Caenorhabditis elegans: one gene and its partner. The protein of the gene in region 1 interacts with the protein of each later gene in a biochemical or structural test. Each region holds a gene or a part of one and is shown on either strand. Other genes may lie near its edges. The genes, in order: unc-98 and unc-96.

Region 1 (5,985 bases):
CATAGTTATTCATCAACTTGAGACGGAAAGTTGGAATGTTTTCATTGACGGACTAGACAAAATATGTTGACTGTTACTTGGTAATAAAAATAGATAGAATTTGTCATTTGAATTTAAAAGTTATGAATTAAGGCATTTTATATCGAGTGTGATGGATTTCAGGTAATTCTCTGATAATAAACGCGAAGAAACCGGAAATATAGACATGGTGCGTTGTTCTAAATTCATATTCAAAATGTTCCTCTGCCCACAAAATGAAATTAATATTTGACACTAAAAACGAATGTAGTATTAAAAAAAGAACCAATAATTTGATCCTATAAAAACGTTTTAAAATGTACCAGTTTTTTTAAATTTTTATTTATTCGTTTATTAGCTTTTTACCCCTTGAAATTTATCAAGGGGTAAAAAGCTAATAAACGCTGCGAAGGCGGGGCGGGAACGTTTAACCGGTAATAATGTAGTTTTACTGTTCCATAAGGGAAGATACTTATGTAAGAAGTTTTTGTGAGGCCACAAGTACACAGTAAGTATGGAAATCTAGGAGGTCCGGCTTTTCTGACAAGAGAGGATTTTATAAAGTAGGGCTATTGGTTCGTGGTATAAACGTATTGACTCAAAATGTGCTGGAAAAAAAAAACAAATTTCGTAGTGAGTCGCTTGTTCTCTTTTAAAACTTTATATTTAGCCCGAGTAGTGAGACTGTTTCATATACCGTATTTCTTCTATTAGTCTTGCATGCAAGACTAATTTTCCATTGGTCTGTAGGGTTGCAAGACTATTAGAGGCTGCAAGACTAGTTTTCGAATGCCCCATCTTTGAAAAAATGACCTATTTTTTGTTGAAAACTTAACTCGATAGCTTGCTGAACGATAAAAATATATACTTTTGCAATATTTCATAAATTATTTGATCATTTTCTAGGTTATTTTCTCAAAAATATCAAATTTGCTGACGTTTCCGCAAAGTACTACTGGTCTTGAAAAAAGAGGGATGCAAGACTATTAGAGACTGCAAGACTAATAGAGGCTGCAAGACTAATAGAGGAAATACGGAAAACTGTTTTTTAATGAAAAAGGGTCTGGTTACTTTATACTTGTTAAAAATTTAACAATTAAATGCATTTTTGTTGTGTAAAATTTCAACATTGGTGCACTTTTAGCCCGCTTGTGATGCATGAAAGAAAGATCCGATCAATCCAGAAGGTGGTGCAGCTCCAGTAAAATGTTTATTCCAATTAAAAGTCATAAAAGTCCCACATAACCGTTTAGATTCTTGAGAATTTTCATTCAAAGTTGTGGTAAATTGCCACAACTAGAATAAGTTGAACCTATGAAAAATATTAGAGCAATTCTGCATTTTTTTAAATGTCTACAATATATGTATATACAAATGATCAAATCATAGTTAGAATATGAAACTTGTATGTAGAAAAAACTATTTTTGCCGTGTTCCAAGATTGTGATTTGTGAAAACTGAATGATAACTACCTTTTTGAAAGCAAAATTATTTTAGATTATTTATCACTGTATAAAGGAGTGATTACAAAAAATCACCCTGACCGATGCTTCACATTTAAAACAATAGCTTCATAATCCTGCATAGTTTCAAATAATAGTTTTACAGTATGTAATTTAATATTTTTACAATTCATATTGAATAATTTCTAAAATATAAACTTCGTTGATCCTTTTCGATTATTATTTCAAAAAAAAAGTACTCTTTCTTTTGTTTGTACCCACATCTCCAAATCATTTGCACGTGTTCAACGTACTACACAAAATGTATGTCACCCACAAACACTAGCATCTGTGCCATTCATTTCAGAAACATGATTCCGCTTTGAAGTTATGTCGAGCACTGCAATCTAGACGCTTTTTTTACTTGTGTCGTCAAGATCTCTTTCTTCTTTAAGACAGTTGAGCAAGATTGAGGGAGACTGCAGACACAGAAGTGTCCCGCAAAACATCCAACGAGGAAAGGAAATGAGAGAGCGGGAGCATTTCAAAAGAGCACATCAGATCCAGAGATTGCAGAGGCGATTTCTCGCATTTTTCGATCGCGACGAGTCTCTTGAGTTTACACTGTGTGTTGAGCACCCCAGCTAGCCACACCGAGCATTCTACCCTCTGACAATTTTCACCCCCATTCCGACGACTAACCGCTGATATCCAGATACAACAATGGATGACGACATCTTCAAAGAGGTATTGTTCTTGATCACTGTGAGCTTTACTTAAATTTGAATTTTTTAGGCAAGAAAGGAAAGAGATGACTTCGAAGAGTTGATGAATGCCTGTGATCTTGCCAAGATGTCCGTGAAGAACAATGAAGTGAGTTAGAGAAACCGAGAGATGACGGAAAAACCGGAGAAAAACGCGGGGGTGTCTGTATTGCGAAATGATTAAAAAAATACCTTCCAGATGGTTCATGGTCTAGAAACCTTCGGCATCAATGGAGAATCGTCAGAAAATGGAAATAAGGAAAAGCCCAAAGAGATCATGAAAGTTGTTGCCCCAACAGTTGAAGCATATGTGAGTTTGGTAAAATTTAAAAAAAAGAATTTCAGAGATTGAAATGTTTGATAGGTTTTAAGGCAAATTTTTTTAAATGTTTTTAAGATTGGATTCATACTGACATTTTTCAACCCTTGGATACAAGTGAAAAAATGTTGAATTATCTGAATAGTGTCTGAAAACGCTTAAATACTTTAAAACAGCGCCATCCTAATTTGATTTTAAAAGCATCAAGTAAATTATTGTAGGTCGGAAGTTCAAGTGCTCAAACTCCAACAAAATCGAGTGGCGGTGCTTTGGATGGCAGTGATCAACAGGTTTGTTTTATTGTTTTTATGAAGTGTGTGTTTTTGTGCATTTTTTGTTGAATAGTTCGTGCTTTGAATAATTTTTAATTAAAAAAACATTGATTAGGAATGTAGTCTATAGGTTTGTACAGGCAAAATTTCCGGAGAAAATGAAACTATATTTTTTGAGTTGTTTGAGAGAAATTGTTAATTTTTTGCTGAATTTTAGATAGTTTAGAAAAGGTTTTATTTTCTAATTTTATAATTAGCATACTAGTAAAAACTTATTTGCCAGAATACACAAAGACAAACTCAGTTCTAATTTAATTTAAATTTAGCCCATTGTCGAAGTAACCATGTCCTGTACATTTGTTGGAAGAGAAAGCTCAGCAGGATGCTAAGAAGAAAAAAAAACAAATTATGATTTTTGTTGTTTGTGATTTTATTTTTCTCTTATCATTTTCAAATACTAACTTGGAATATAATTTCTTGCTGCTCCTTATGCTTTTTTCCTTCAACCTATCCATTTCCATTCTTCTCCTTTCCCAAGCTAATTCACATGGGTATTGTTGACTTACTCTTGTTTGTGAATAAACATTTTGCTGTTGTTGTTGAAGTTGATGCGCTCACTTTCAGCACACGAACCAAATGTGCGGAATATAGATGTGAGCATTGACAGCTTGAATGTGAAAGAATGAGGGAAATGGGAATAAAAGGAAGAAAAATATAAGATGAAGGAAAAACTGAAGAAGGGAGGGAATGAAGAAGGCGTTAAATGAAAAAGAGACTCTTTTAGTCGATGAAAAGTGATTATTGCAGGAAGTGCGTCAGGACGGAACTAGTGTGCAAAAAGATGACAACGGATTTGTATTCTACAAGTGTCGTTTCTGCGGACTCACATTCAACTTCATGAACACTCTCCGTGCACACGAGAGAATACATGACGTTTCACAGGTTTTCATTCGCTGGATTACTTATAGAAACTCTTTGTTTCAGCCATATGTCTGTGGAAAATGCGGAGACTCATTTGAATTTGCTTGCCAACTGGAATATCATGCCGCTCAGCACTCAGAAATTGACGGGTACAAGTGTGAATGCGGAAGGACGTTCTTTTCTTACACGGAAATGTTATATCACAAGCACACGGACGATCCACTCGAATTGATAGGTGCTCCAGAGGTTTGTCTAATTGAGAAATCTGAGAAATAATAAATTTACTAGATTTTACTAATCAGTAGAGCTTTTTGAAACAAAATCTGAATTACGAACTTCTCGGAAAAAAATCAACAGAATCTAGCTATGGCTGTTTTAATGTTTGATTTTTTATTCTTCAGTTCTTTCGACTCAAAATCTATCAAAACCTTTTCATCCAGCCATTCGCTTTTCAATTTTGTATTTGGTTTTCATAGTCCTTGATGTGAGAAAATTGTGAACAAAAACTTTGTGTGTCTTGGCTTTCTGACGTAAAAAAAATATTTTTCTCAACAAAAAAAAATTGCTGATAGCCTGTGAGAGGGTGCAATTTGATACGACTGCACTTACTTCTTGCATCACAACTGTTAAACAGATGGAATTTCAGTGCAAAAAAAAGAAAACGTTATGAAACAGAAGTTATGAAACCGAAGAAAGTTCCAAATTTAAAAACATGTTTTGGTCGTTTACCTTACGTTGTTTTGTTAATGAAGATACGTTTCAAGCAATTAGGGACCAAAAATTACCACAATTTGCTACCTAAGTCTTTGTGACTGGGAAAAATTGAAACAACTCGAGTTTTTGACTGAAATTTGGGTATTGCCTTTTCAAAATTTTGAACCCCCATAAACAAGTTTTTAAGTAATTTTTGAGAAGTAGTATTTCAAATTTCGTTCGTTTGGTTTTGTTAAAAATCACACGGAAAAAAAGCCGAAACCGTTTTTTTACTTTAACAAGGAATACATTTGTGAGAAGAATGAAGATTACCAATATAATTTGAAATACTTCAGACAACCACAATAAAAGTAAGCAAGAAGCGAGTCCTACCGGTCTCCGAGCAAGATCTTCCACAGCCAGCTTTCGTTACTGAAGGATACGAGCCGAAGCATCCACTCCGAGTGTACAACGACGTTCGTTCAAAACCATACATTTGTGAATATTGTTCGAAAAGCTACTCTGACAGTCGTGGTCTTGCATATCACATGTACAGTCATCGTGGAGAGAAGTACTTCAATCCTCGAGCATCTCGTTATATGATGGGAAGGGAAGGAGTTGGGTACACTGATTCCAGAAGCTACTATTTATTCCCAAGAACAAGCGGATACGTGACTCCGCGATTCTGAGCAACCCCTGAGTATTTAAAATTTTTCTAATTTAGTATTTAAATCTATCCAGATCTTGTAAAATATATATATATTTCAACATCGGCTAGCTTTAACAATATTTGTCCTTCAAAATGTATATTCGATATGGTTCTTTCATATAACTCATATTTCTTTCTTTCAACTAAATCAACGTTTTTCTTTAGTGTTATCGTTTTCTCATTTCTTGTCATTTTGTCTTTTCCTCACATTTTTAAGACGCTCGTTATAAAGACGGTCAGCAGCAGAAACTCGTTTTGTGTTCAACATAAACTACAATTGACTACAAAGCACAAAAATCGTGTGTTTCCAACGCACTCAGACACACTCTATAAATACTGTTCTCGTCATGTCTTGTTGGTATTTTCTTCTTTCCCTGAAATATCGATTCCTGGTCAATCGTACAATTGGGACCATGTTAAGCGGGAAAGACATTGACCGCTAGCACAAATGTTGTCCGGCTCTCTCACAATCAATCTTTCTTCTGTGATGTGTTACGACAACCCACAACCGATTTTTTGATAGCAAAAATGATAAGATGATGATAGCGAGACAGCTCAATTGTTCGTTGTTCTAGAAGTTGTACGTTTTTTTAAATTTATTTTGCATCATTTTGAATTCATTATTTAAAAATGTATAAAATTGTTTAATTAACGGTTCTCGAAATATTTTGCCACTTCACAGCCACGATATCTCACTCAATAAAGCAAATGCAATTTGGGACACGCACTTGTGTTCGTTATTAATATCGAGTCCCCATTGAAAAAACTAGGCCACGCGGCCGTGAAGTACTCTCGGAAAACTACACCATTTTTTATTTTTTTATTCTACTTATATTTTCTCAAATCT
Region 2 (4,929 bases), 7.0 Mb from region 1:
TCATGTTCTTCGTATTAGTAATTAATAAAATGTTTTTATTTCATCAAACTGGGAACAAAAATCAAGTCAAGATTATAGGGAGCTTTTAAGTGACTACGTAAGAAACCATTTGAAGTGAAAAATGAAGGCGAGTCCAGAATAAATCTGACGGGAGAAAGTGTTGATGCTTTCAAATTATTGATCTTTCGAGGGATCTGGCAAAAATTTAGTTGCGCGCCAGATTAAAATCAAAAATTAAGCTATAGTGGTTTTTTCAAGTATAATGTTGATTTTGTGTTTTTTTTCCTGGTTTCGAAAGCACTTTGGCAATTTTCCAAGAAGTTTGAATGATTAAGAAAAATCTAAAATTGTTGATCAACTTTATCATAAGTATTTCAGTCAACACAGATTTTTTTCCAGAAATTTTGAGAGTTATCTTTGATTCCGGAAATGACGGTCTTTTCCTCACTGCTTTTATATTGCCATTTTTTGTACGAGCCACTGTTGCTTTGATTATCTTTCGATTAATTCTGATTCAGGTTTACTTTTTTGATAATTCAAATTTTCAGAGCTACCTGGCGTTAAATGTCACCCTTTTTCCCTTTTTTCAAGAGAAAATTAGTTTTGTTTGTTTCAAGAAACGTTATTGACAATAAATCTTAGGAGTTATCTTAATCTAAAAACTGGGAAAAAAGTAAAACGAATTCAGTCTACAGAATTGAAGTACAGTAAATGATTTTTTTCATCAGCTAGAACATTTTAGAAGCCCTTTTAGATTTCAGGTTAAGCTATCTCCCAAGCATGTAGCCGCAACTGAGATTCTGCAGTTGTTCTAGAAGATTTTCACATCCCCCATACGGCTATTATTTGTCTGAAATTACCGTTTCAAATTTCAGCGGCCTGATCAAGCCTGATTAGATTCATATAATTGTAAAACAAACTGCAATACTTTAACTTGAAAAAATCAGTAACCCGATGGCAGCACCATTTTTCACAAACTGAAACACGAGGACGCCGGCCCGATTTGTGGGGGGGGGGGGGGGGGGGGGTTTGAGAAAAATCATCGAATCGCAGCTAGTGCTCTTTTGCCGAGGGACAAGGAAGAGAGAAAGAGAGGAGATACGCCCGTTGGCTTTACACAGGTTTTGTGTTGAGATCGTCAAGAAGACGGGAGGTAGTCGGGAGGGGGGGGGCGAGAGTGCAGTGATCAGAGAGGCGCAGTCGTTCCCGGCTCTCTGAGCACGCACACTTTTCTCCTCTATTCACGGGAAGACCTCTCAACATTCACCCCACTCTTTTATCTTTTGTATTCGGATTTTTGTTTTTTTTTGTTGGTGCTTTAATTAATTTATTTTTCGATTTTGTTAACTTTTTTATTTTGCTCTGCTAAGTATGTTTAATTTCTCTAAATCTTCAAAACTTACATGTATATATTTGAAAACATGCATCAAATTCTAATTGAAAAAGCCTCCAACCAACTATTGCGAAATACTTTTGTTTTTTATATTGTGGGCCAAAAACACTGATACCCCTATAAAAACATTACCTGTATCCCGAAAAAAACTTGAAACTCTCGCGCGACATTGACATTCCAATCAAAAAGGCGGTGAGCAAATCCCCTGAGCACCACTCAATTTCTCAAACAGAAAAGTTTCTGTCTCATACATTCTTGCCAACTTTTTCATCTTTTTCTACTCATCCCTGAGCTGTTACTTTCCAGAAGACTTGGATAATGAGTGAAACTGAAGATGTGAATCTCAACCTGGATCCGGAGAAACCCAAAGTTCGATCAGTTGTGAGATCAGACAGCGGATTGGAAAATGAGATTCCTGTAAGAAGAGAAGGGTGGTGTGAAAAACGAGAAATATATATATATATGTATATGCTTTGAAAGTTTTGAGTTTTTTGAGAGTTTAGGCAGCATTTTACATTTTATCGGTTTGCACCCAGTCCGTACATTTTTCGAAAAGCTTTAGCCTATTTTTGAAGATAGTTGAAAATTTTGAAATTGTTTCTCTTCAGTTGGGATTTTTGAATGTCAAATACTTTGATTTAAAGTCTAAGGGAATACAAAAAAGTATGAACTGGAAAATAGTTTTTCAAAAGTCAATACCTCCCTTTCATATGAACTGAGAATCTTTGATCACATTTTACAAGAGCATAATATAGAATGTAGTGTATGTCTAGACAATTTTTCTGTGATGCCGAAAAAAATATAGAGGATTAAAATAGACAAAAAATGTAGACTATGATCACAAAACGCTCATCTTATTAAATATACTCAATGTTTCTTAAAACAAACAAGTAGTTTGGGATCTGGATAGATTAGGATATCAATTGATTAATTCGCAGTACGAGATTTAAAAAAAACTGTTTATGCAGTTTTGTAAAAAAAAAAGACTAATAACGTCAACAAAAATTATATTGGATGCAACTCTCAAAAATTAATTTGAAATTGGTAAATCTTCACGCTTTAGTTTATGACAGAATTAGAAATTCTAGTAATTGCATAAATCCGAATACTCTCCATTTTCCAGAAAATTTCCGGAACCTCATCAGCATTAATAGAAGAGGGGTTATCTCTGCTCAACCTCAAATCTTCTTTGAGCCCAAATGTTGCTCCAGTTGCCGTAGATTTGTTGGATAGAACGTGCCCAAGTCCAGATTACGGGCTGACGTCAGAGAGGTTAGTGAACTTTTTTCTTTCAAGTAGTGAGCTCCCATTATATTTCAAAAGTTTACGATACCGTGTATAAAAGATATTTTGATTGTTTTTTCCTCCACGGGTTTAAGCTTCGGCTGAGGCTTTCACTCATCAATTTGGTTTTATTAATGCATATTTATCTTGAAAAATGGTTTTAGCTACTTTTATCTATTGCTTGAAGTGAATTTCATCTGCGTGTGAATTTTCAACTACTTTTAAATAAATTTTCGCTGAATTATGGTTCTGCAACCTATAATACTATGTTAGCAAATGTAACTCAAAAAGTACCTAACAAGAACAAAAACAAGATTGTAAGAGTTATCAAAAATGACCGAGAGCAAGATTTCTGCCAGATGTGTAACTGAGTGAGATATGTGTACGGCGGAAACAACACATTACACAATGACCCGCAGAGTTTGATTAGATTTGTTAATGTTTTGGTTTTGAACGCGGTGAAAAAGAGATCAACTAGGACTTGTCAAAATCCAAAGTAATCATATTTTAAATGTTTATTTTTTTATCAAAAGAACAAATCGGTGTAATTTGACACCTTTAGCAAGAATTATCACTGAAATCGTGACGAGAGCTAAAAAAACTAGATGCGTCTTCAGGCTACAGTAGCAAATTGTTGACAGTGAAAATTATAAGTATTGTTTTTTGATTCCTAGTTTATTCTTTTTTTTTAAATTTTAACCTTTATAAAAATATTAAAGATTTCCACTTCTCAGTTACCTCAACTGTGATTTTTGCCGTGAAGCAAAGATGATTGAAAAATACCGTTAGAATCTTGTATTTTTGACCAACTTTTCTACGCAGTGGTAACACCATAATGATGATCGTAACTATCGCAATAAAAATGTTCCCACTTCTACCATAATCATTAGTCCTTCTTTTCACATGTTTTTGAACATGTTAGCAGTGTTGACTTTAAATTAATTTTTCTCCGGGCTGTCATGTACCTACTGGATACAGGGAGGATATGTCTGAAAACTTAATTTGGACTATTCCAAGAACACTATAAGTGACTGTAACTGCTAAATACAATTTATTGAACTTCCACAGCTTGATATTACTGATAGTAAAACATTTACTCATGACAATTATATTAGGTGTTCAAGGACTAATTATAGAGCTTGTAAAATTTGAAAAAAATCGGTTGCCAAATTGGGAATTTTTAAAAATTTTCTTGTATGTAGTGTTTCAGTCTGTGACATTTTTTTAGAGAAAATTCTATTATAATTTGTGTATATCAATGGAAAATTTTGGAAGTAGATGTTTATTGGTTTCATTCACAACGGAACAAGATGATTTTTTCTCGTAAATGGCATGACTCGGAATAAACTTTCTAGTGTTAAAAATGATAGAAAAAATCTTAGATTTTTTAGAAAAATGCAATTCTAACCAATTGTTATGAACGCACGTGCATTCATTCGAAAAAAATAACGTGGGAGGCTCCAAAGTCTAAAAGACCGCTGATAAATTTAACTGTAAACTGCTGAAATATACAAAAAAAAAAGTGAAAACAAGCAAATTATTAAGGTAACCTTTCTAATAGTTTTTAAAGAAATCGTTAAGCTCATAGAAATGTATTTCTATAATTGCGCCTCATCATGTATGTATTACTTTTCAATGTTTGATAGAGTCATTAATAATTTGAAAAATATTGTTTTTCCCCAAATGTTTGAAATAATGTACAAAATAATGTTTTCATGTGATGCTTTAAACACATAGTTGGTTTTAAGTAAAAAAACAAGCCTAAGAAAATTAGTTTAAGTTAAACAATCACATGCGAAACTTAAAAAAACTGCTCGTTTCAGAAATTTAAAAATGAAAAACTCAGAAGCAGAACTGTTTTTTTCGCTTCTTATCTGCGCTATTCCAGCATTCACGTGGTGTCAGAGTATCTCATTTTGGTTTGATCTACATAGATCTACAAAAAAATGCGGGAGTTGAGACGCAAGGTTCTCAACTGATTTCGCATGGTAAAGAATGTGCTGACGTCACATTTTTTGGGCGAAAAAATTTTCGCATTTTTGTAGATCAAACCGTGAAAGAACATCCTGACACCACGTGAACATTTAAAAAGCCTTTGTTTTTGCGTGACAATTGTTCTTACGGTTTTCAGTTTAGTGAGATTCGGACGTAGTCTGAACTTATTACTTAATAATTTATTATTTTTGTATCACAGTTTGAGTCTTTTCAAATACTTTCCTCATTCACTCAGACAAAAACTGTTTCTTGAACCG

Evidence for each region.
Region 2: the proteins of unc-98 (region 1) and unc-96 interact in far-western blotting, tested with the Caenorhabditis elegans proteins (one study listed by BioGRID).

The regions. Positions count from the first base shown.
Region 1 is NC_003284.9:7,569,773-7,575,757, reverse strand, and holds unc-98 (Zinc finger protein unc-98), read left to right. Parts: upstream 1-2,168; 5' UTR 2,169-2,183; coding exon 2,184-2,207; intron 2,208-2,255; coding exon 2,256-2,333; intron 2,334-2,423; coding exon 2,424-2,534; intron 2,535-2,764; coding exon 2,765-2,833; intron 2,834-3,381; coding exon of another isoform or gene 3,382-3,401; intron 3,402-3,622; coding exon 3,623-3,757; intron 3,758-3,799; coding exon 3,800-3,982; intron 3,983-4,785; coding exon 4,786-5,118; 3' UTR 5,119-5,384; downstream 5,385-5,985. Other genes in the region: pcyt-1 (Putative choline-phosphate cytidylyltransferase), read right to left, coding at 3,382-3,401. UniProt on the Caenorhabditis elegans protein: Probable transcription factor required for muscle structure.
Region 2 is NC_003284.9:618,061-622,989, reverse strand, and holds the start of unc-96 (CRE-UNC-96 protein), read left to right. Parts: upstream 1-1,699; 5' UTR 1,700-1,711; coding exon 1,712-1,810; intron 1,811-2,516; coding exon 2,517-2,665; intron 2,666-4,929.